Notamacropus eugenii: one gene and its partner. The protein of the gene in region 2 interacts with the protein of the main gene of each other region in a biochemical or structural test. Links are inferred from orthologs where the notes say so. Each region holds a gene or a part of one and is shown on either strand. Other genes may lie near its edges.

Region 1 (11,030 bases), on a different chromosome or scaffold from region 2:
TTTTTATGCCCTAATGCATCGTCAGTTTTTGTGTACATGTCATGTACAACTGAGAAGGTATACTTCTACTATTCTCATTCAGTTTTCTCCAGAGGTCTACCATATCTAACTTTTCTAAAATTCTATTCCTCTCCTTAATATCTTGTTTACTTTGTGGTTGGATTTGTCTAGTTCTGAGAGGGGAAAGTTGAGACCCTTTACTGTCTATTTCCGCCTATAACTCATTTAACTTTTCCTTTAAGAATTTGGATGGTATGCCATTTAGTACATATATGTTTAGTACTAATATTATTTCATTGTAGTACCTTTTAATAAAATGCAGTTCTCCTGCTTATCTTTTAAAATTAGATCTTTTTTTTTTGCTTTTGCTTTGTCTGAGATCATGATTGTTACCCTCTCCCTGCCCTTCTTTTTTGCCTCATCTGAATAAGAGATTCTGCCCCTTATTTTTACTGTATTTCTTTGTTCCAAAAGTGTTTCCTGTAAATGTATTGTTGGATTCTGGTTTTTAATCCATTTTGCTATCTAGTCTGTTTTATGGGTAAGTTCATCACATTCATGAGTTATGATTACTGTCTTATTTTTTTCCCCCTGCTTATCCTTCTCTTTTTACCCTCATCAAAAGTCTTTGGCTTCTGGCTACTGCCTCCCTTAATCCATCCTGTCTTCAATCAGCCCCTCACCTTATCCCCTTCCCCTCCTACTTCCCTGTAGGATAAGATGATTTCTATACCCAACTATGTATTCCCTCTTTGAGCCAATTCCAGTGATTAAGGTGCAAGCATTGCTACCCCCCCATCTATTTCTCCGCTATAATAGCTCTTTCATACCTATCTTATGTGAGATAATTTACCCCACTCCACCTCTCCCTTCCCCCTTCTCCTAGCACAGCTCTCATTTTCAAAAAATCATCCCATCATAGTCAACTCACATGGTACCCTCTGTCTACTTTCAAATACAAGCCTTAATAATGATAAAGTTCTTAAGAGTTACAAGTATCACCTTCCCATGTAGGAATATAAACAGTTTAACCTCATTAAAACCCTATTTCTCTTGAGTCATATTGAAAGTAGCCCTCATGTTTAGATAATATAATAAAGCAGGATGGTATAATGGAGAGAGGGCTGGAATTTGGAGTTAAAGTCCTGATTCAAATCCTGGCTCTGATATGTAAATCCTGGTATGACTTTAGGCAAGTTATACCTCCTCTCTCTTTGAGCCTCGGTTTACCCATCTGTAAAATGAGAGCACTAGAACTTGGATTTTCCTTCTAGTTCTAAACTGAAGAACCTATGGCCTGAGGAAGAGGGAGGTACTGTAACCTTATTCAGTTCATGGATGTGTGTAGAAACAGACACACACGTAGAGCATGGTATAGAGAGGGGGGCATTGTAGGGCCTGAGGGCTCATGGGAAAGAGCTGAAGTAGATATCAGAAGATTGAGGTTCTAATCCTAACCTCGATCCTTCCTCTGGGCCTCTTAATTCTCCCACTACGTACAAAATAAATAGATCACAAAACGTTAGAGGTAAGAAGGTACCTTGGTAGCACCTGTTCCCATCCCCTTCACTTCAGGAGGTAACTTCAGAAGGTGGCCCTAAGGTTATATTGCCAACAAGTGGTAGAGATAGGAACTCAAGGTGTTGTGTCTCCAAGTCCAATGTTCCCTCCACAAAGCTTTGTGAAAACCTTTTCCCCACACTAGTGATATGCTCTAGGTTGTAATTTGTTCCTGATTGAGAGGGTCCTCAGTGCTTCCCCCCCTCCCCAACCTGAAAGGTGAAGAGAAAAGGAATTAACCTGGAGATGAAGCATGTGAGAGTATTCGGAGGGGTAGATTTGTCTAGGTATCCCTAGGAAAAACTACGCCAGTCGTTCCCGGGAAGTGCTCTCCCTAAGATGGGTGGGGTTCAATCTGAGAGTCCTGGTAAACCAGATCCTGACACTTTGGCCTCCCTGCTGCCCCTCTGGGTGCCCACCTAGACTGAGCTGTGCTTGGTGTGGGGTTCAGATCCTTCCAGGACCTATGAGGGGAAGAGAGATGAGACTGTCTCTTTACTCCTCTCCCATCCCCCTTTCCCCTTCTGCCAGGAAGCTAGAACTCACTCAGCCTTCAACTTTCTCCTTTTTGTATCTTTCCAGTCCCTCAGACAAGAAGCAAGAGAAGGACAGGGGGTAGGGAGTTGAGGTGTGTCCCTGCCTCCCCCGGACTATGATTCCTTCTCCCAAGAGACCACCCGGTCTTGTGAATGTCTGGATCTGCAGTCGGGCAGCTTCGGGGCTGTAGTTGAAGGTGGGAGAGGGGGCTCGGCCTGTGTGGCCAATCCGAAGCAAACTCTGGGAAGCCCCTCCCCCCCTAGCCCCTCACCCCAATTTCCGGTAGCTACAGAGCTCAGGAGGGAGAGGAGGGTGGGAGAGTTGGGGGAGGGCTCTGCCAGGGAGAGGCCAGCCCCAGAGAGAAGGCTTAGTGCGTGCGGAACGTGCAACTTCGGCTCGCCCGCCCCCTCTCCCTCCTCCCCGACACAGCCACATTAGCTAAAAGTCCTTCCCCTTGGAGTCTAGGACCGGAGTCCTAGAGCATCTTTTCTCCTTCGGCTCCTGGGGAGAGGTGAGGCGAAGTCAGGAGCCCGAGCCCCACCAAGGCCCAGCAAGGAGGGAGTTGCGGTGTAGCTGAGGAATCTTGGACCACCGAGGTCAGAGATGGGGGAGTGCCTCGCGCTTAGGAATCCCTATAGGACCCTTTGTTCCCTGCTGACCATGAGGGTCTCCAAACTTCCCGCCACCTCCCTAAACTTGGGGGTGGCAGTGAGAGGGACTGGAACTGTTTCCCTGCTAGTTCACAGTCCCACGTACGCGCCCTCCCCTTTCACAACTGTAATTTGGTTTCTTTCAATCAGTTTATAAATTTCCACTCGCCAGATGTGCCTTTTCGAGAGGCTTGTTTGCCCAGCTGACATCACCAGGGCCCCCACCCAGCCCCAGGTCTCTCCTTTGCCCAGGGCTGACTCCGAGACAAGATCTTCCATTCCAAGGTTTAGTGTCAGCCCTCGCCCACCCAGCCGGCCCCCCGCTTGGAGCGCTTGCGCCCTGCGCCGATCACACAGCAGGAGAGGGAAAAGGGACCTAAGGGATCTTACTCTAGCTCCCTTATTTCACATGACCAGAGAGAGGGGAAGCGACTTGCCCACAGTCACACGGCCAGGAATTGGCAGAGGCAGAACTCGACCTCAGAATGACGGCCTCGGCTCTCCACTGTGCCAGAAGAGGCCTGGCGGTCAAACTGGTGGCTTCCAGGGAGTGGGGGGAGTGCAGCCGCCAGACTGGGCCGGGGGCGCAGATTCCCTCAAATTCCCGCCGGCGGCTGGCCCCTAGCCAGTCCGGAGAGGCGGGGACAGGGGCGGAGGCACCACGCCTCGGGAAGCGAAGGAAGGCGCGCGCGCTCCGCACCTTTCTAGCCCGGGGCCCTTCGACCCCCGCCACGGCCCCAAGTCCCCACTTCCCCGGACATTCCCTGGGCATGCAGGTCTCGGCACCGGATCACGTTAGGCGTCAGGAGCCCAAGAGGGCCTTCTACGCACACACCACGCGGCTGGGCCGGACTGGGGGCGCCACGCCACGCTCCCCTCGGCGATGCCCCGAATCTCCAGGCTCGGCCGGACTGGGGAACAGCCACCTGCTGCGTAGGCCCCCCATGCTCCTTCGCCTCCACCCCCAGAGCCTTCTGGGGCCCCCGGCAGTCCCCGGGGGGTGGGGTACTGCTGGGCACTCCGGGATCTGAGCCCGCGGAGCCGGAAGCCGCCGGTGACTCAGCCCCTCCCCTCGCATCACTAGCCGAGCACGCCGCTCGCCTAGCCTGGGGCCGGGGGCGGGAGAGCGGCATGGCCCGCGGCCTCTCGGTGGGGACTTAGTTCTTAGTTCTCTAAGCGCGGTTCTTACCTTGCCTCCGGAGTCCATGTTTCTCGCCGTGCGCTCGACTCCGCCGCCGCTGCCTAGGCTGCCACCGCTCTCTGCACTCCGGTTCCGGCTCCGGCTCGGATCCCCAGGGCTCTCGGGAGGGAAGCCGGGGCGCGCTGCTTTCCCCTGCGCTCTGCTTTTCTCCCTACTCTTTTATACTTTTTTCTTCTCCTCTCTTTTCTTTCCTTACCTCTCTGCCTTTTTCTTTTCTCCTCTCCTTTCCCTCAACTACTTTTTCTCCTTTCTTTCCTTCCCCCTTTTCCCCTCTCTGGTACTGCGCTCCCGGGGCCTGGCTGATTAAGTCCACCCCACTGGAGCCGTCCCGCTCTCGCTCTTGCCGGGAATGCCGAGCCTGTGGTTTATAGAGGCAATGTGTGGCCGGGTCTCTCTTTCTCTGATTGGCTGTGGGAGCCAGGGGGTGTGTTGGGGGTGTGTTGGCCTCTTAACTAAGAGGCCCAGCTCTAAGCTCCTCCTCCGCGGGGGAGGGTTGGGGGGGCCGAAATCTGGTTGCCGGACCCTAGGATGCTGCCTCTGTCTGCCTAGGAAGAAGAAACACCCTGGTCTCAGGGTGCTGGAGTCCATTCATTTCTGGTGTCCAAGACAGGTCCTGCTTCTTCCATAACCCCGCGGAAAGAGCTACCCTAAGACAGTCAGGGACCATTTCCAAGCCATCCCTACGAAAGGACTGGGATGATAGTGGAAACAAGAAGGGGCACAGCCATTTGACCCCTGGCTGGGTCAGTTACAACCCCTGGGTTGTAACTATTCAGGTATTACTCTAGCGCAGCAAAGAAACATGAGGGATGTAGGGGCACCAAAGGACTTCGGGGAAAGAGAGATGGCTCGAGTACCTGGATTCAAACCCCAGTTCTGATGCTTACTATCCATGTGACCTTGGGTAAGTCACTAAATATTGGGCCTCAGTTTCTTCAGTTGTAAAATGAGGAGTTTGGATTAGCTGGCCTCTGATGTCCCTTCCAGCGCCGGATCTATCCATCTATCAGTGCTATCTATCATTTAATCTCTCCATTTGACAACTGAGGAAACTGGGATTCAGTGAGAAGTGGCTTGCTCTTAAAATAATACCTTACTTTTTTCTACAGCTTTATTATATATTACTTTTCCATTCAAATCAAATCTACTCTGTTAGGTGGGAGTTGAGGGAGCTACAAAGACAAAAATGGAAGTCTCTGCTCTGTGTGTGTATGTGTGGGTGAGCAACATATCTACATCTATATCATGTATATATAAATACACACACACATATATATATGTAAAAAAATATGTACTAAGTAACTCAGGATGTCATGAAGACAATTGGTCTGTGAGGTTATGAGAGCAGGGAGAGGGTCTCCCTCTTTTAAAGAAGGAGGAAACAAGTTCACTGTGTGGTTACTTACTCTAGGTCAAACAGAGAGTTAGTGACATACAGGACTACAACCAGAATCTCCCTGGTAGCATCATCCTGCCTTCTTACAGAATCATGCCAGGTCATCCCTCTCTCCCTTGAAGCAAACCCTAACAATAAACTCTGAGCTGACTCTGTGACTTGGGGGATGGTGTGAGGGTTGTATTGAGGGGAGCCAGATAGCTCTTTGAGATCCCAAGGAACATGCAGGCTGAGATGCAGAAACTTTCTCACATTCCTCCTGGCTGGACTCACACTGGACACTTTGTCTTGGAAGAGCTGAGTTATCCGTGGCTTGAACCCGAATCTATTCCTAGAGATTCAGTTGATTTCAAAAGACCAACAAAGGAAGGGAAACCTTTGGGGTTGGTGGAGCAGAGCTTGGTGTCGGGCAGGCAGAGTAAAGGTCCATGCTATGCTGGTGCCTGTGTGAGCACATGTGGGTAGTGGGGGAAGCGGGGGGAGGGAAATGTGTGTGGACAGAGGCAATTTACTCTCTGGAGCCTGGGAGCAGGCAGGGAGAGGCTGGGTGTGTGCTTCTCATGCTGAGCTGAGTCTGATGAGTAAGTCTCCGGAGCAGCCTATTTTACCTTTAAAGGAAAGTCCTTTTCATCTGCCTCTCCTACTTTTCCCTTTCCTCTCTTTTCCCTCTCCTTCTCTTGCCTTCTCTCCTCCATTTCCTTTTCCTCTCCTTTTCATCATCTTTCCTTTCTCTTTCCTCTTCTCCCTCTTCCTCTTTTTTTTCCCTTTCCTTTCTCTATCCCTTTTACTTCCTCTGTTCTCTGTCTCTGTCTCTTTTTTTCTCAAAGTAGATCCTCTGAGAGGTCCCTCAGAGACTAGGGGAGAGCCAAACAGCTAGGGATTTAGGGGTGTTTTCCAACACACAAATCCTTCCAGGCTTCAAGTAAACAAGATATTAGATGAGTTTATAAAGGCTATTAAAGACCTTATAGACTGACAGGGACCTTTGGATTTGCCTAATTACTGTCCCCCTTTGTCCCAGTGCCTCAAGCTTATCATCAGTCTTCCCCTCCTCTTTCATTATTTACCCATCAAATATGAAATCTATATACAACTATATACAGCTCTGTGGTGGGGGAGTTGTGCAGTTGTAATGGAATAGCCAAGAATATGTCCATATGGGGAGGAAGCACATGAAATCATGAAATGTCATGCTTGGAAGGGGACTTACCTAATGAAATATAGAACTAGAAAGGATCCTAGAACACAGAATGTAAGAGCCAGAAGGAACCTTAGAACATAAACAAAACAGATGCCAGAAATGGAGGAAGTCTTAGAGACTGTCGATTTATCAAGTCCTCTCATTTTACAGAAGAGGAAACAAACTCAGAGGAAGAAAATGATTTTCCCAAGGTTAATAAATTTATAAATAAAAGAAATAATAAACTACGTTCCCAAGTTAATAAAGATGAATAACTGGTCCTTAACCTCAAGCAAGGAAAGAAGCATTTATTAAGCTTACATATAGTTTTTATTAAGGATATGCAATAGTGTCAGACACTGTGATAAGTGCTACTGATACAAATATAAACAGAAAGGAAGAGCCCTTGTCTTCAGGAAACTTATATTCTAATATAGGAACACACACACACACACACACACACACACACACACACACACACGAGGTGAAAAAGGTGTGTGTGGTGGGGAATGAAGATAGGCAGCACAGGGGCATGATTGTGAAGTCCAGGAGCCAGGAATAGGCCCAGGAGGGAAATGAAAGGCACCCTCTGACCCTTCACAAAATGGAGGGTACTAGAGGAACTCATCACTGAGAGGAAAGGATGGGCCTTCCAGAGGAACATTCTGGGTTGAGAAGGCTTTGAGGATGGTAGGGTGATGAAGCCCCAGACATCTAAGATGAGCTAGCAGCAGCAGCTAGTTTGGGGAGTCTAGAAACCAGGGGCAGGGCTCCTCAGGAGTTCATACTCTAGTATAGAGAATTGTGTTAAGATTTTGATTGGCTGCCCAGCTTAACAAGGTTAACTAACCCTAACTGTTGCCACAGTGGGGACTCTGATAATATCTCTAATCCAGTCTAATTTACCATGTATCATCTACCTGACAAAACAAAAAACCATTCCTTGCCCTGAAGGAGCTTATGTTCTGTCTGGGGTGAGAGGGGTGGGTTTGTGGGGAGAAAAAGAGGTAAGCAGACAAGTATATACAGGAAATTGAGCAAGGAGAGGGTATTAGGAAGAGTTTATGTTTCCATCCTTCAGAGGGGCAGAGGGTATTGATGTGGTATGAATATCAAGGGTTATTGGATCTTGCAAGGTTATAAGATTTCCCAGTGATGAAGTTATAGGGGCATGGTAGAAAAGCCAAAATGAGTGCAGCTGGGCAGGAAATGAGTTTTCTGAGGAGATGGAATGCTGAATTCTAGAACAGCAAATAGGTCAGTTTAGCTAGAATGCTGGTAAAGTGTGAAGGGTAATAATGTGTGATAAGCCAAGAAAGGTAGGCTGGAACCAGATGGTGAAGAGCTAAAATGGTTATTTCTAGAACTATTCTGCAAGGGGAACATCTGCAGATGAGTGACCTCTGGGGTCAGCCCATAATGAAATTTGCAGTTTGCCATCAATGATCCTCATGCTCATCACCTTTTCACCCTGACCCCCTACCCCCACTTCTGTTCTAGATTTTAGGTACTTAGTGCCCTCCTTTGATCAAGGCTACAGGACAAAGAGCCAGGACTAGGAGGCTACACATCTGGGTTCTGACTCAGGTTCTGACATGATCTCCCCATATGATCTTGGGCAAGCCCCTTTCTATTGTAGTCCTCTGCTTTTCCATCTGTAAAGTGACCTAACATGATCAAGAAGGTCCCTTATAGTAGGACTAGCTTATGAGTCTATGATGTTTCCTACTATTAGAAAGGGGCAGGCTGACATTTTTAACTATGGATCAAGTTCCATTCTTTCACAACCTTCCTCCAATTCTAAACTGGTTTCTCCCCAAGAGGAATGAAAAACTGGCCCTTAGGAAAAGGAGTCAAAATTGTAGTACATCCTTTATCTTCAGGAGGACCAATGACATCATAAGGGTGGAGTCTTGACTTGCTAATAAACTGGATTTAAGTGAGGCAGAGCTGTGTAAAATCATCAGCCTCACTCTCCTCCAGTCACCAGAGTTCAACGGCAAGACAAAAGTCAGACAACTGGCAATTGCCCAGGATACAGTGGGTGATCTTGGCCTTTTTAAACTAAGGTCTCAAGTCTCAGTTTGTCTGAGGCAACACCCATTAAATGATCAAGGGCTAGGTAAGAATTGAGACAGAGAAGATGACCTAGTTTGCCATTACAAAGGAATCAACCTGGGAGGAGAAGACCCTTAGAGTTTTTGGCCAGAATAGAAAACAATTGGTACTCGCTTTCATTCTTAGCCATTAAAACCCAAAAATGGTCAAGAGAGGTTTGGATTGGGGAACTGTTATTGGTCAGTTAATGAAACCCAGAGTAATTTGGGTTTAAAGGCCTAGTCAGGTAGCTCCATTTGAATCATAATGGGATTTTCAAAGCCTGTTTTTTCAGATTTATATTTCAAGGAATCATAAATGCAAACTATATAAGACAAAGCGTTAACTGTCCCAGCTTCCTGAAAAAATGATAAAAGAAACCGAAAATTGTATTCCTTTGGATAGAGCACCCACATGTAAGGGTATGACTCCTCATGTGGACAGAGGGACCACATATGATAAAGGAAGAAGGAAGAGGAGGAGGAGAAGAAATAGAAACATTGCTCAACTTGACTAACAAGTTGGATCCCCAGAAGGTAGCTACTATTACTCACAACTATATTTCAAGAAATCATAAATGAAAACTGTGTAAGACAAAGAGTTAATTGTCCCAGCTTTTTGAAAAAATAAATTATGAAATACATAGGAAATTTTAAAAATTCTAGCTCCCAAGCCCCAAGACATCTTATAAAATATAAGTGAAATCATATTCCTTTGGAAAGAGCATTCATTCCCACATGGACAGAGAGACCATATGTGATGAAGGAGAAAGAAAAAAAAGGAGGAGGAAGATGATACAGTTTCTTCAATCATAGATTGTAAATTCTGAATCAAGTTGGATTTATACCAGTATTACAAGAATGGTTCAGTATTACAGAAACAACTAACATAATTGTATAACCCCCCCCACAAAAGTTCAAGCCATATGATTATATCAATAGGGATAGGATTAGACCTCTGATTTCATTGGTATATGTAACCCTAGGGTGAGGAAATTCCCTCTGCTGATTCAAGTTGGCAACTTCTCTGAATCTTATCGACTTGGAGAGTTGCCTGTAGCACTGAGAGCTTAAGTGATTTGCCCAGTATGTATCAAAGGCAGGACTTGAACCCAAGTCTTCTAAGCTTCAGGGATAACTCTATTACTACACCAAGCTGCCTCTAATTAAAATAAAAATAGTAGCCAATATTTATAAAGTGCTTTAAGGTTTTCAAAGCACTTTATTATATTTTTCTAATCAATCAATAAATATTTATTAATCACCTATTATGTGGCAGACACTGTGCTGAGCTGGAGGGAAACAAAGAAGGAAAAAGGACCTTTGAAGAACTCACAATCTAATGAGGGAGATAACATGCAAAGAGTACAAACTATGTACAGGATAAATTAGAAATTGTTGTTTGTCCTTCATTCTTGAAGAGGACCATGACATCAGGAAGGACCATGACATGCAAGTAAATTAGTTTTAAGTGAAGTCACCAGCCTCACTTTCTCCTCTCGAACCATCTGGGACCAGTGGCCAGATAAAGATCAGGACAACTGGTGATGGTCCAGGATGCAATGGGGGACCTTGGCCTTTTCAAGCTAAGTTTTTTAACAAGTCTTAGTTTGACTGAAGCAATGTCCAATCAGTGATTAGGCTAGGTAAGAAATGAGGCAGAGAGTGGTCTCTTTACCTAGTTAAAAAAAAAACCCCGGAAATAATCAATAGAAGGAAAGCACTAGGATTAAGAAGGGTTAGGAAAGGCTTCCTGTAGAAGATAGGATTTTAGCTTGTACTTGGAGGAGAGTGAGGGAAGCCAGGAAGAAGAGATGAAGAAGGAGAACATTCCAAGTGTGGGGGATAGCTAGCAAAATACTTGTTTTAGTAACAAGAAGGCAGTCAATGTCCTTGAATAGAAGAGCTCAGGAAAATGTATAAGGTGTGAAAAGATTGGAAAAGTAGGGGGTCAGTTTGTTGAGTAAGGAGGCAGGAAGTGTGCATGACGTGGTTGGATTTTGATGACTGAGTGGCAGGTGGACTGGACTAGGGAGATCTCATGACAGTCTGTAAATCTTAAAGATAATATGTATAGAGGCAGAGCAATCAGTAGGCAATTATAGTAATCTAGGTGTGAGGAGATAAAGGCCTGTGTTAGGGTAGTAGCAGCATCAGAGGAGAGAAGGAAAATATACCAAGATGTTACAAAGATAAAACCAATAGACCTTGGCAACAGGGGTGAGGAACTGATGACGACACCTAGGTTGTGAACTTGGGGAACAGAGAATGATGGTATCCTATACAGCAATAAGGAAGTCTGGAAGCAGGGCACAGTTTAGAGGGAAAGATGAAATGAGTTCATTTTTGGACATATTGAATTTAAGATGTCTACAGCATCTCTGGTTGGAGATGTCTAATAGATAGAGAT
Region 2 (10,868 bases):
CATAATAGGATCAGGTCTAGATCCTTTGGATAGATCTCCAAGTTGACATTGTATCATTAATGACCATTATTTAGGTCATCACTGAATCTACCCAACTGTACTATCAGCCAGCCCATATCTCTCTATTTGTCCACAAAGACCAACCAATCAACAAGTGGTTATTAAGCATGTTTTATATGTCAAACACTGTACTAATCACTGGGGAACATAAGTAAAAAGAATCAAATGATCCCTTCTCACAAGGAGATTACATTTCAGTGAAGAAGATAAATACATATAAAAATATATACAGCATAAATACAAAGTTAATATGTATGTGTGTGTGTGTGTGTGTGTGTGTATATATATATATATATATATATATATATATATATATATATATATATATATAGAGAGAGAGAGAGAGAGAGAGAGAGAGAGAGAGAGAGAGAGAGAGAGAGAGAGAGATTGAGCTGGGACTTAGAGGAAGACAGAGACTCCAAAACAGAGATAAGAGGTGGGGATGGGAGAAGTGACACATTCTAGACATATGGGAGATGGAGTATTATGAGGAATAGATAGAGATTCATTTGGCTGGATATCATAGTGTGGGGTTAATGTTCAATGAACCAGGAAAGATAGGTTGGAGCCAGACTATGTGGAGTTTTAAAAGTATAAAATGAAACACTATGTCAAATGCTTCACTGAAATTTAAGACGATTTTTCTAGCCATTCTCTTGAGAAAGATTAGTATGGTATGATTTGTCTTTGATGAAGCTATACTGGATGGCTCTTAGTGATCAGTGCTTCTTTTTCTAGATGTTCACAAACCAACCCTTCAACTGTGCTCTAAAGTTTTGCCAAAAATTAAAGTCAAGGTTACTATCTTCTAGTTTGCAGGCACTATTTTCTTTCTTTTTTTGAAAATTGGGACATTTGACAGTGAAAGGAGAGAGTTGGATATTAATTTTAGAGACTGAGTCAGCAGGATTTGGTAATTGACTGGAAATTAAACAATTACTAAGCATTTACTAAGCACCATGAAGGAAGGAAAGGATTTCAATAAGCAGAGTTGTGAGGGAAAATCATTGTATGTGTGAGGCAACCAGGTGGATCCTATTCCCTTTTTATAAGATCATTTACTTAGTGCTTGAAGGATCAGTCAGATGTCAGTCAATAAGCATTGGTTAAGTGTTTACTATGTGCCAGGCACTGTGTAAGTTCTGGGGAAAAAAAGAAAAGCAAAAAACAGTTCCTGCTTTCAAGAAGTTGTCTGTCCACTGGGTTAGACAGTATGGAAATTTGAACTAAAGAGAATGAGGAATGGCATCTTGTAGAAGGTAGGATTTCAGCTAAGACTTAAAGGAAGCCAGGAGACAGAGATGACAAAGAAAAGATTTCCAGGCATGGGGATAGCCAGTGAAAATGCCCAACTGGAGAGATAAGTGTCTTGTTAGAAAAACTGCAGGAAAACCAAAGTCACTTAATGGAAGGGTGTGGGAATATAAAATTTAAGAGATCGGAAAAGGTAGATAGGGCCAACGTGTGAAGGATTTTGAATGTCAAATCCATTGTTCTTTTCACTGCCTCAGGGTGCATAAATATACTGTCCTAGTGACATAGCAGTTTGAGATCTCCAAAATTTCACAAAAGAATAAGACAGTAAATGCTTAACAATAAAACTTTATTTTGACTACATTTTGACTCATATAAGGAAAGGTATAAGGAGATACCCAGGGGCAGGAACAGAGAGCCAAGAGCAATAAGGGATGGATACAAGCAGGGCAACTCTAGGACACCTGGGGAAGGGATACATACACCCAGGGTGCAGGCAAAAGTTGTGAGTTTTATTGGGGGAAGTGGTTTTCCTGTCTCTGATATCACAAAATGGCTAGAGGATGTTGGCTATATAAACATAGCATATATACATTTTCAGAAAAGCACAGGGCTGCCAAGCCCAAGCAAGGGATATAATAATGAGAGGCACTCTTCAAAGAGAGGCTAGGTCCAAAAAAAAAAGGGGGGGGAGGAGGGCTTTATTTTGAGGACTATCATATATAAAGGCAAGGAAGGAAGGGCAAGACAAAGCTGAGAATCACTGAAAAATCTACTTAGGGTAGAATATAAAGTGCAGGGGGAACTAGTATGTGATGATGCTTAAAGCTATGTTGGGGTCTTGAATGACAGGATGAGAAGCATATATTTTATTCAATAAACAACAGGGAGCATCTAAAGGTTTTTTTAAAAAGAATAACATCTTATATACAAGGAAATTATTTTGATAGTAGTTTCAAAGATAAATTAGAGAAGGGGCAACCAATTAGGATAAGACAGTATTCTAGTTAAGAAGTAATGAGGACTTGAACTAGTTGTAGCATATCCCTTTACAGAATAGGAAACAAAAAGAATGCTCTGTCTTTTGAATTATTTCCCTGCTCTAAATCTATGACCTTATGGTCCTATATTCACGGCTCTCACTGAATATTGATAGAGGCCTGGTTAAGTCTACACTAGAAAAAATTCTTCCAAATTCAATTCTGTTTTACAAGTATCCTTAACTCTACTACTACCACCAAGGTCAATCTTCATAGTTATGAGATGCCCTCTCTTTCATCCAGGCCTCCTATTTTCCCCTAAAGTGAAATTCCCTCTAAAAAGGTGGGGGAGGGATAGGGAGAGGAAGGAGGGAAAGAAATTAAATGAGTAGTCAGAGAGGGAAGTTATGGATATTGGGAGTCACAAATACAACTGGAGGTGCATAGTGGAGCAACAAACTCATGGGCTGAGGCTACTAGATTTCTTAAATCCCTGAGGCCAAGGCCTGAGGTTGAACAGGGCAGCTTGTAACTTGTCTCTGCCCAACAGCAGACTAATCAGTGAGGACACCTTATTCCTTAAGATCTTGGCTTGTATTCAACACCTCCACCCAAAGAAAAGCAAACAAACAACAATCACTTTTTAGTTTCCCTCTGACTCAAGTGAAGAAAACCGAGGCCTGAAAAGAAAAAGGTGCACTAATATGCAAAGTTCTTGTACCTAGCACTACTGTGCAGCCCCTCCCAAGTTTATCCCCTTCTTGTACCCTCAATGCGCTTCTTTTGGGAAAAGGAATTTGCAGAATTTTCTCTTTCCTCAACCCAAGAACTGGGGGGAAGATTCTGGAGGCTGATTTTATTTTTTTTTAGCAGGTTATCAAGGGAAAGGTTGTAAACAACCCTGTTGTTGAGGGTGCCGTTTCAGAAAATATCTTGGCCGAAGGCCCTGGCAAGTTATTACTGCCAAAGCTAAATAGTTTTTTGACATTCAAGGCAAGCTTGGCATAACAGGGAGCATATCCATACCACTCAGGTCTGCAAAGAGTGGCGATAACAGAAAAATACGTAAGAAAAATACCCAGGACAAAGACAGATTTATTGTAGGATATGGAAAAAGAGTTGGATTCAGCATTTCATGGTTATGCCCAGATAAATATCAGTGTTTTTAACTTCTCCAAGAAGTCTTCTATAATACTACAGCTTCAATTACTCTGTAGCTCTTCTCTACCTTCGATACTCATATGCACAATAATTAAACTTTAATTTACAGTCTGATGTATTTTGTGTTTTTATGTTGTTTTTTTCTTTTTGTTCGTTCTCTACTATCTAAAAGCAAATCCTTCAGCGTTAAGGACTGTGAAACATCACACCAAGACTGACCTGGGAACTCAATCACTGCTCTTCACTGACAAAAACACCCTCTATTTTGTTAGGTAACTGTACAACAGAGTGCTACTTCTAACCCACACACCCCCTGGGATCAAGATGTTCCTGGGGCTAATTCCGTTCTTTCTTACCAATTAAGTCATCAAGCCTCATCCCGGAACTTTCTCCTCTTCGATTGTAATTTGCTAGCCTGAGGGTGTTATCACAATTGGGGTGTGAGATGAAGGAATTAAGGTCCTTATCATCATAGGAAAAAAATAGTGGAGGAAGTGGGGTTCCATTCCATTCTACTGCCTTTCTATATGTTCTCAGACTTTTGGACATCAGCATCCCCTTCTGACCAGGAGGACTGAAGCAAATTTCAGATATCCACAAATAGAAAAGACAGGGAGCCTAAGAAAGGAAAGATGAACTGCATCTAAAAATAAAAGTTCTAATTATAACAGAGTTTTTGGCCTTAGTAGGACTAACTTTCAATAGTCATCTTCTAAGATCTTATGGCCAACTCATTCAGGGGAAAACCCACCTGATAGAGAGATCCAAATTAAGCCTCCTGAAAGCACAGCACACAATAGGATATTAGTTAGACTTTCTGGAGACTTCCAAATCTGCTTCCTCTTCCCTTCATTTCTTCATTTTCTAAAGGCTTTTGGAAAAAGTAGTGATCAATAATCATATATATACTTGAAAAAAACAACTGTTCTGTTGTGCTTAGGATTGCTTCTTCCATGAGCTGAGACACAAGTTTTTCTCCTTCATCTTGAGGTTGGTTTTCCCCCTTTTTGGGGGGCTGCGGGAGCGTGTAGGGAGGGCAGAGGGTGCCAGAGCAGGGGGTGCCAGCTGGCTCAGAGAGCGCTTAGGTCAGGCATTAGAGATGGGTGGAGGATCCTATGGCTTTGTCAGGTGTGAAGCAAGATTGGCCAAGCAGATGCTTGGGGATAAACGCACTATATTCGCTGTATTCCTCAAAGGGGCGACCAGGTACATGGGGGCATGGACACAGTGTCCCCCCTGCTCTACAGGGAAAGACGACGCAGAGATGGGGGGTTAAGCCACACACCCTTCTTGTTTCCCTTTCAAAAAGAACAGGGTGGTTGAGGAGGGGAGGGGGAAAAGAAGGTGAGGAAAGGCAATAATCCTTGTGAGGAAGCCAGGAGCTGAAGGAAAGGGGGGTGAGAAAACTCACGCCCCCCAATGTCCAATTTGGGGGCTCAGACTGAAGAGAAAGTTGACAGACACCAGTGACCCCCCCCTTTTTTCTCTAAGTTTTCTGGGGAGGGTTTGCCTGAAAAAGGAATTCTCCCTCCGTCCCCATTCCTTCAATTCTCAATTTAATGGAGAACTTTCCAGGGTTTCTGTGGGAATGTCTTTGAGGAAAGTCGCCTAAATTGGGTGAACAGAGGACAGTCAGAGATGACTCGAGATCTGAGGGGCCTGAGCAAGGTTGGGTTACCCTAAAGTTAGCCTCGCGCACTAAAGAGAAGCCTGCCATGCCCCTGGGGGGCTTTTCCCCTTTCACCCAAAAACGCCAGTCCTTGACATCAACACCCGCCCTCCGACGTCTATTAGAACGCTGATAGGCTTAGGGGCAATCCCTTCGCCCTCCTTTCATTTGTCTCCAGGGACGTCGCTCAAGAACCCCTCCGCCCCCTCCTTCCTCGGAGGAAACCGTGCACAACAACCGTTTACCCCGCCAGGGGCACACTGTGTCCACGCGCTCCAGGCCGCGCGCTGATTGGCTGTGTCCCTGGTAAACAAGGAAAAGGCAGCCAATGGGAAGATTGTGCACGAGGACAGCACGAGCCACCTCGCAGGCCCTCGCGTGGCTCCGACAGTTAGAGCCCTATATAGGGCTGTTTCCGCCTGCTCCTTGAGTCAATCCCTAGAGCGCTGCCTTCGGACCTGTGCTTTCTCGTCCCCAGATTTCGGGGAGGGGCATTTCCTTAAAACTCCTTTTGGTCTCAGACACGAAGCCTTTTTTTTCTTTCGAAGTCCCTTGACTTATATTTTCTAGGCTTTTCTACTTTTTAAAAGTTTGCAAAGGCTGATTTGAGAGGCTCTTCGATTTCTTAGAATCCAAGCGCCCAGCCTGTCAGCGGACAAGCCCATCCAGACCAGGGAGACCGAACTGTCCGTCCTCCGCTTAACCGGAAAGGTTAAATCCTCCTTCGGCTCTCTCTCTCGAGAAACTTTATTCCTTGTCTGCCCCGTTCTCTGAGTGACCCAACCCCCAGCTATGGTGATGTTCAAGAAAATCAAGACTTTCGAGGTGGTCTTCAGCGACCCCGACAAGGTGTACAGCAGTGGGGAGAAGGTGGCCGGCCGGGTGGTGGTGGAGGTGTGCGAGGTGACCCGGGTCAAGGCGGTCAGGATCCTGGCCTGCGGAGTGGCCAAAGTGCTGTGGCTGCAGGGCTCGCAGCAGTGCAAGCAGGTGGTGGACTACCTGCGCTACGAGGACACGCTCCTGCTGGAAGACCAGCCCGCAGGTAAGGGGCGCGCCCTGCAGGGCGGGGGTGGGGGGAGGGCCCCAGCTGTTAGAAAGGGAGCCCTGGGGCACTGTTCTGGGGGGGGGCGGGGGGAGCTGAATCTTTGTCCTTGCATCTGGCCAAGTGAGGAGTATTCCCAGCCTTCGCTTGAGCTAAGCTGCAGTGCCTTGGATGCTTAACGAAGTCTCAGTGTTAGAGCTGGTTTCAGGGTCGGCGCTTTGGACTCCTTTACATCATTAACCTTTCCTTTCGGGAGACTGGAATGTAGTTAGTTTCAGAAAATGGTCCTTATATTGTTTAGGCATTTCTGCATTTAAAATAAGATCAGTACCACTTTTTTAGTAAGTCTAATGGTGGATCTTTTTTTTTTTCCTTTCCCTGAAGCTAACGATGAGTTTGTGATCCTGAGACCTGGAAACAAGTATGAGTACAAGTTCGGCTTTGAACTTCCTCAAGGGTAGGTGTTAGCTCTGCTGTCCTTTTCTTTAAAACCTCCCTTCCCTTAGGCACCCAAGGTTTCTTGATGGTTGAGTAATCTAAAAGGAATCGTTCTCTTTATTCCACCCTAGGCCTCTGGGAACCTCATTCAAGGGGAAGTATGGCTGTGTAGACTACTGGGTAAAGGCTTTCCTAGACCGTCCCAGCCAGCCAACTCAAGAAACCAAGAAGTACTTTGAAGTGGTAGATCCAGTGGATGTTAATACTCCTGATTTGATGGTAAGCTTTCCCAATAGGCTTAAGTCTTGAGTAGTGAGAGATCTTAGGAAGCAGGAACCCTGCCTCTTGACAAGGCGTATACTGAAAATAAAAATCTAATCTTTAGCTTAAAATGAAAGTGAATAAACATTTAACTCTTAAAGTTTCTGACAGCAGTATAGTCTCACTAAACCCTACAAAACCTGGTTGTCATGACCATTGACAAAGATGTTCAAGCAGAGCTTAGAGGAGAGTATAATTATGGTAGATGATGATACTGCAGGTCTTATCTAATATTACATGATAATGGACTAGAATCTCAGGAGATAGAGGTCCTCATAATGAAAAGCAGGAGCCATCTTTACTTGGCAATTCTCAGAAACTTTAACAAAGATTTCTTTATTTTCCCTATTCAGGCACCTGTGTCTGCCAAAAAGGAGAAAAAAGTTTCTTGCCTGTTTATTCCTGATGGGAGGGTATCTGTCTCTGCCCGGATTGACCGAAAAGGATTTTGTGAAGGTAAGAGAAGTCTGGGCTTGGGAGAGGCAGCTATTGCATAGTGTTGGGGAAGGGTTATGAGCCATAAATCATCAGCTATACAGTCTTTAGTAACAAAAATCAATGCTTTTGTCAGGTGATGAAATCTCCATCAATGCTGACTTTGAGAATACGTGTTCCCGAATCGTTATGCCAAAGGCTGCTATTGTTGCCCGCCACACTTACCTTGCCAATGGCCAGACCAAGGTGTTGACCCAAAAGCTATCTTCTGTTCGAGGCAACCATATCATTTCTGGCACCTGTGAATCATGGCGTGGCAAAAGCCTTCGTGTACAGAAGATTAAACCCTCCATCCTTGGCTGCAACATCCTTCGTGTTGAATACTCTTTATTGGTGAGTGAGTCTGTCTCTGGGATTAGGGTAAATTGATCATTGAATCAAGCAGTTTTATATTTATATGTCATGGCACTCTGGTGTAACAGAAACAATTTTTTTCTTTCCTATATATAGATCTATGTCAGTGTCCCTGGATCTAAGAAGGTCATTCTTGACCTGCCCCTAGTCATCGGCAGCAGGTCAGGACTCAGTAGTCGGACATCCAGCATGGCTAGCCGAACCAGCTCTGAAATGAGTTGGGTGGATCTAAACATCCCTGACACTCCAGAAGGTGAGCCAAAGTAGTATACCCCTGTACTCCTATTTTCCCACCAAAGATTCCTGGAAATCAGAATTTGGTTGTCTGAGTTGTTTATTTTCTCTATTTTCTCTATGCAGCACCTCCTTGCTACACGGATATTATTCCTGAAGATCACAGACTGGAGAGCCCCACCACTCCTCTCCTTGATGATAGCTCTCTGGACAGCCCCATCTTTATGTATGCATCCCAGTTCAAGTTTATGCCTCCACCCACTTACACTGAGGTGAGAATTATTACCTTCATTGAATGAAGGTGGAGGTGGGGGTTCCCAACTTACATATTCTGATTCCCCTGCTTCTCTCCTACCCTCTAAATCTAAAACCATCTTTCTTTTTTCCCTTCTAGGTGGATCCCTGTATTGTGAACAACAATGTGCAGTGAATGTACCAAAGAAGAGAAGCAGCTGTTTATCTACCTGTTTCTTTCTGTCTCTCCTGGACTGCTTTTTCAGAGGCATGATGGTCTCTACCCACTGTTGGGGATGGGTTTCCTTTCACCTCTATCTCCCTGATGTTAGGAGATAAGCAGGCCGTCATCTCCTAAAACAGATGCCAAAGTGCGTCTACCCTCTCAGCCGATCTTGCTGTTGTGTCATAGAGAGAGGATGTATGCTGGTTTGTGGGAGGTTTGGACTCTGTTGTGACCCGTTTCCTCAGAATTCCCCTGAAATATGAGGGGTTTTCAGTAGTTTGGTCAGGGTTGGGATGGCCTCTAGTTTGGTCTTCCCAGGATCTCTGGGGAGGGTGGGGTATTGATTGCAATCACAAAAAGTTGACTTCTGGGAATCACCATGCCAGGCAAAGGTGATTTAATGATCTGGGAAAGGTTTTATAGAAATAATGGCCAAAATTTTGGTGGGAAGAAGAGGCTTCCTGAAATGAGTATAGCCCTTCTCACATCTCCACTGTATGTATATGTTTAAAGGTGCTCCCAGTTTTTTAGAAATTTCTCCTGATGAGAAAGGGAAGTGTGATCCCCTGCACTTCTCGGATGATACGTTATCCTTGTTTCAAAGCAAAGGCAAAGAGGAGGGAGGCTGGTGAAAGCCTGTGCCTAAGCACTTTGTTCTTCCTCTTTAGGAGTTTGGGTTCAGTGTTGGTAGGTGGTAGGAGGGGACTCCCTTGGAGTTAATTCTGAAGTATTGTTCTTAGCACTTTTGTTCTCTTTTCCATTGGGGATTTTCCTCCTAGTTCCCCCTAAGCATTCAACTAACGGGTCTGGGATGGTTAAGGGAAAACTAATGATTGTGATGAAATTCTTGTCTTTACTGGTAGCTTTCTGAGGAGTAGTTATTAAGGGAAGGTCCTTCAGTCCCAGCCCTGCAAATTGGAAAAGAGGCTACCAGAACACTCCAAAGCTGGGATCATGCTGCCAAATAACCTCTTAGGAAACAAATCAGAATCGGGCAGCTTTCCCACCCTTGAACACAGTTCCCAGTGTTAAAAGAGGAGTTTTGAATAATTCCTTTTTCCCCTTAGCCCTCAGCACTTAATTAAGCAATCAGCACTTTCTCTACTGTCTTGTGTCAAAGCACTGAGCCCCCCCCCCCCCCACACTCTTATCTGTGAACTGTACAACTTAGAAAATGGACTGAACGTGGTTTTGGTTTTTTTTTTTTAAATGTTTTATCTTTTTGTATGTTAAAAAATTATATTTTGTACTTTTTATCAGAGATATTTTCAACTCCTTGGAGGTCTTTTTTTAAAAATAAAAATTTTATAAAAATAAAAGTTTTCTGTTTTTCTTGGGTGGAAGTTTTTGGAGAGATTAAAAAAGTATTTGATTTATACACTCTTATCTTTAAACACTGTTCTAGAAACTGCCCTAGCTACTGACAGGGATAACTGGATAGAGGATTTGAAAGCATGGGTGACCCTACATACACCACTAACTGTTTAAAAAATAAATTCATCTTGGATAGGTTTCTCTTTGCAGAAAGAAAGGGCCAAATGGTTTTGCTAGTGCTACAGCCCTCTATTTTCTTAACCAATGATTTGAAACCATTTTTAGTAAGAGAATGATTTCTGAGAAATCAAAATAATGTTTCCAATTTCAAGGCACCACATAATATTTATGTAATTAAGTTAGTTGAGATAATGACAAAACTGATTCTTCTGTGATCTCAATAAAGACAACTGTAATGCAGATGTGTACAAGACAATTGAGTAAAGAGCATTTTTTTATAGTCAATAAGATGGGCATCTTAATATCTTAGAACCCCGGTTCTATCCCATAGTAACTTTGATCACTCCTAGCTCTCAGTTTTGTGAAGTGAGATGTATTCTTTTTACCGGTTTAAAGTTGATCTGTATTATGGGTCTTTTTTCCAGCTGGTAGAAAAGAGTGGAGGGAAAAAGTGTCATTAGGTCTGGATTTTTCTTTTTTGATTCTTTAGTAAGCTTCCCTCAGAAAATAGCTGGATTTGGGGGCTGGGTCTTTTAAAGAACTAGAATACAATTCTTGGGTTGATTGCCACCCCAAGTCCCTTGGTGTCTTCTTCCTTCTCCCATGTGCTACCTTTGATCTTTTCCCATCGGGGGTTCAATATACTGTTTCCCTTATTTCTGGAGGAGACAGAGGATGTGCTGAAGTCAATGGAGACTAGACTCTGCCAGACTTCAGTTTTGTCCAATTATATTCTCACATGAGAATCCTGGTCAATCCCTATTCTGAGGCTAACCCTTCTCAGCCCCCATCTAAAAACTATAAACTACAAAAAACAATAGAAATGAGCTGGGGAGATAGCTTCATAGACCAATTTCCTTCTCTGTCTCTACCTCAAGGTTTCTCCTTGTTTGTCTTACTGATTCC

The links.
Region 1: the proteins of TXNIP (region 2) and SLC2A1 form a complex in vitro, tested with the Homo sapiens proteins (2 studies listed by BioGRID). The link is inferred for Notamacropus eugenii from reciprocal best matches to the Homo sapiens genes TXNIP and SLC2A1.

What each region holds. Positions count from the first base shown.
Region 1 is NC_092876.1:74,282,738-74,293,767, reverse strand, and holds the start of SLC2A1 (solute carrier family 2, facilitated glucose transporter member 1), read right to left. Parts: upstream 4,331-11,030; 5' UTR 3,955-4,330; coding exon 3,937-3,954; intron 1-3,936. UniProt on the Homo sapiens protein: Facilitative glucose transporter, which is responsible for constitutive or basal glucose uptake. Has a very broad substrate specificity; can transport a wide range of aldoses including both pentoses and hexoses.
Region 2 is NC_092873.1:303,291,588-303,302,455, reverse strand, and holds TXNIP (thioredoxin-interacting protein), read left to right. Parts: upstream 1-5,502; 5' UTR 5,503-5,916; coding exon 5,917-6,166; intron 6,167-6,550; coding exon 6,551-6,623; intron 6,624-6,735; coding exon 6,736-6,883; intron 6,884-7,278; coding exon 7,279-7,381; intron 7,382-7,496; coding exon 7,497-7,753; intron 7,754-7,870; coding exon 7,871-8,027; intron 8,028-8,134; coding exon 8,135-8,280; intron 8,281-8,402; coding exon 8,403-8,438; 3' UTR 8,439-9,787; downstream 9,788-10,868. UniProt on the Homo sapiens protein: May act as an oxidative stress mediator by inhibiting thioredoxin activity or by limiting its bioavailability.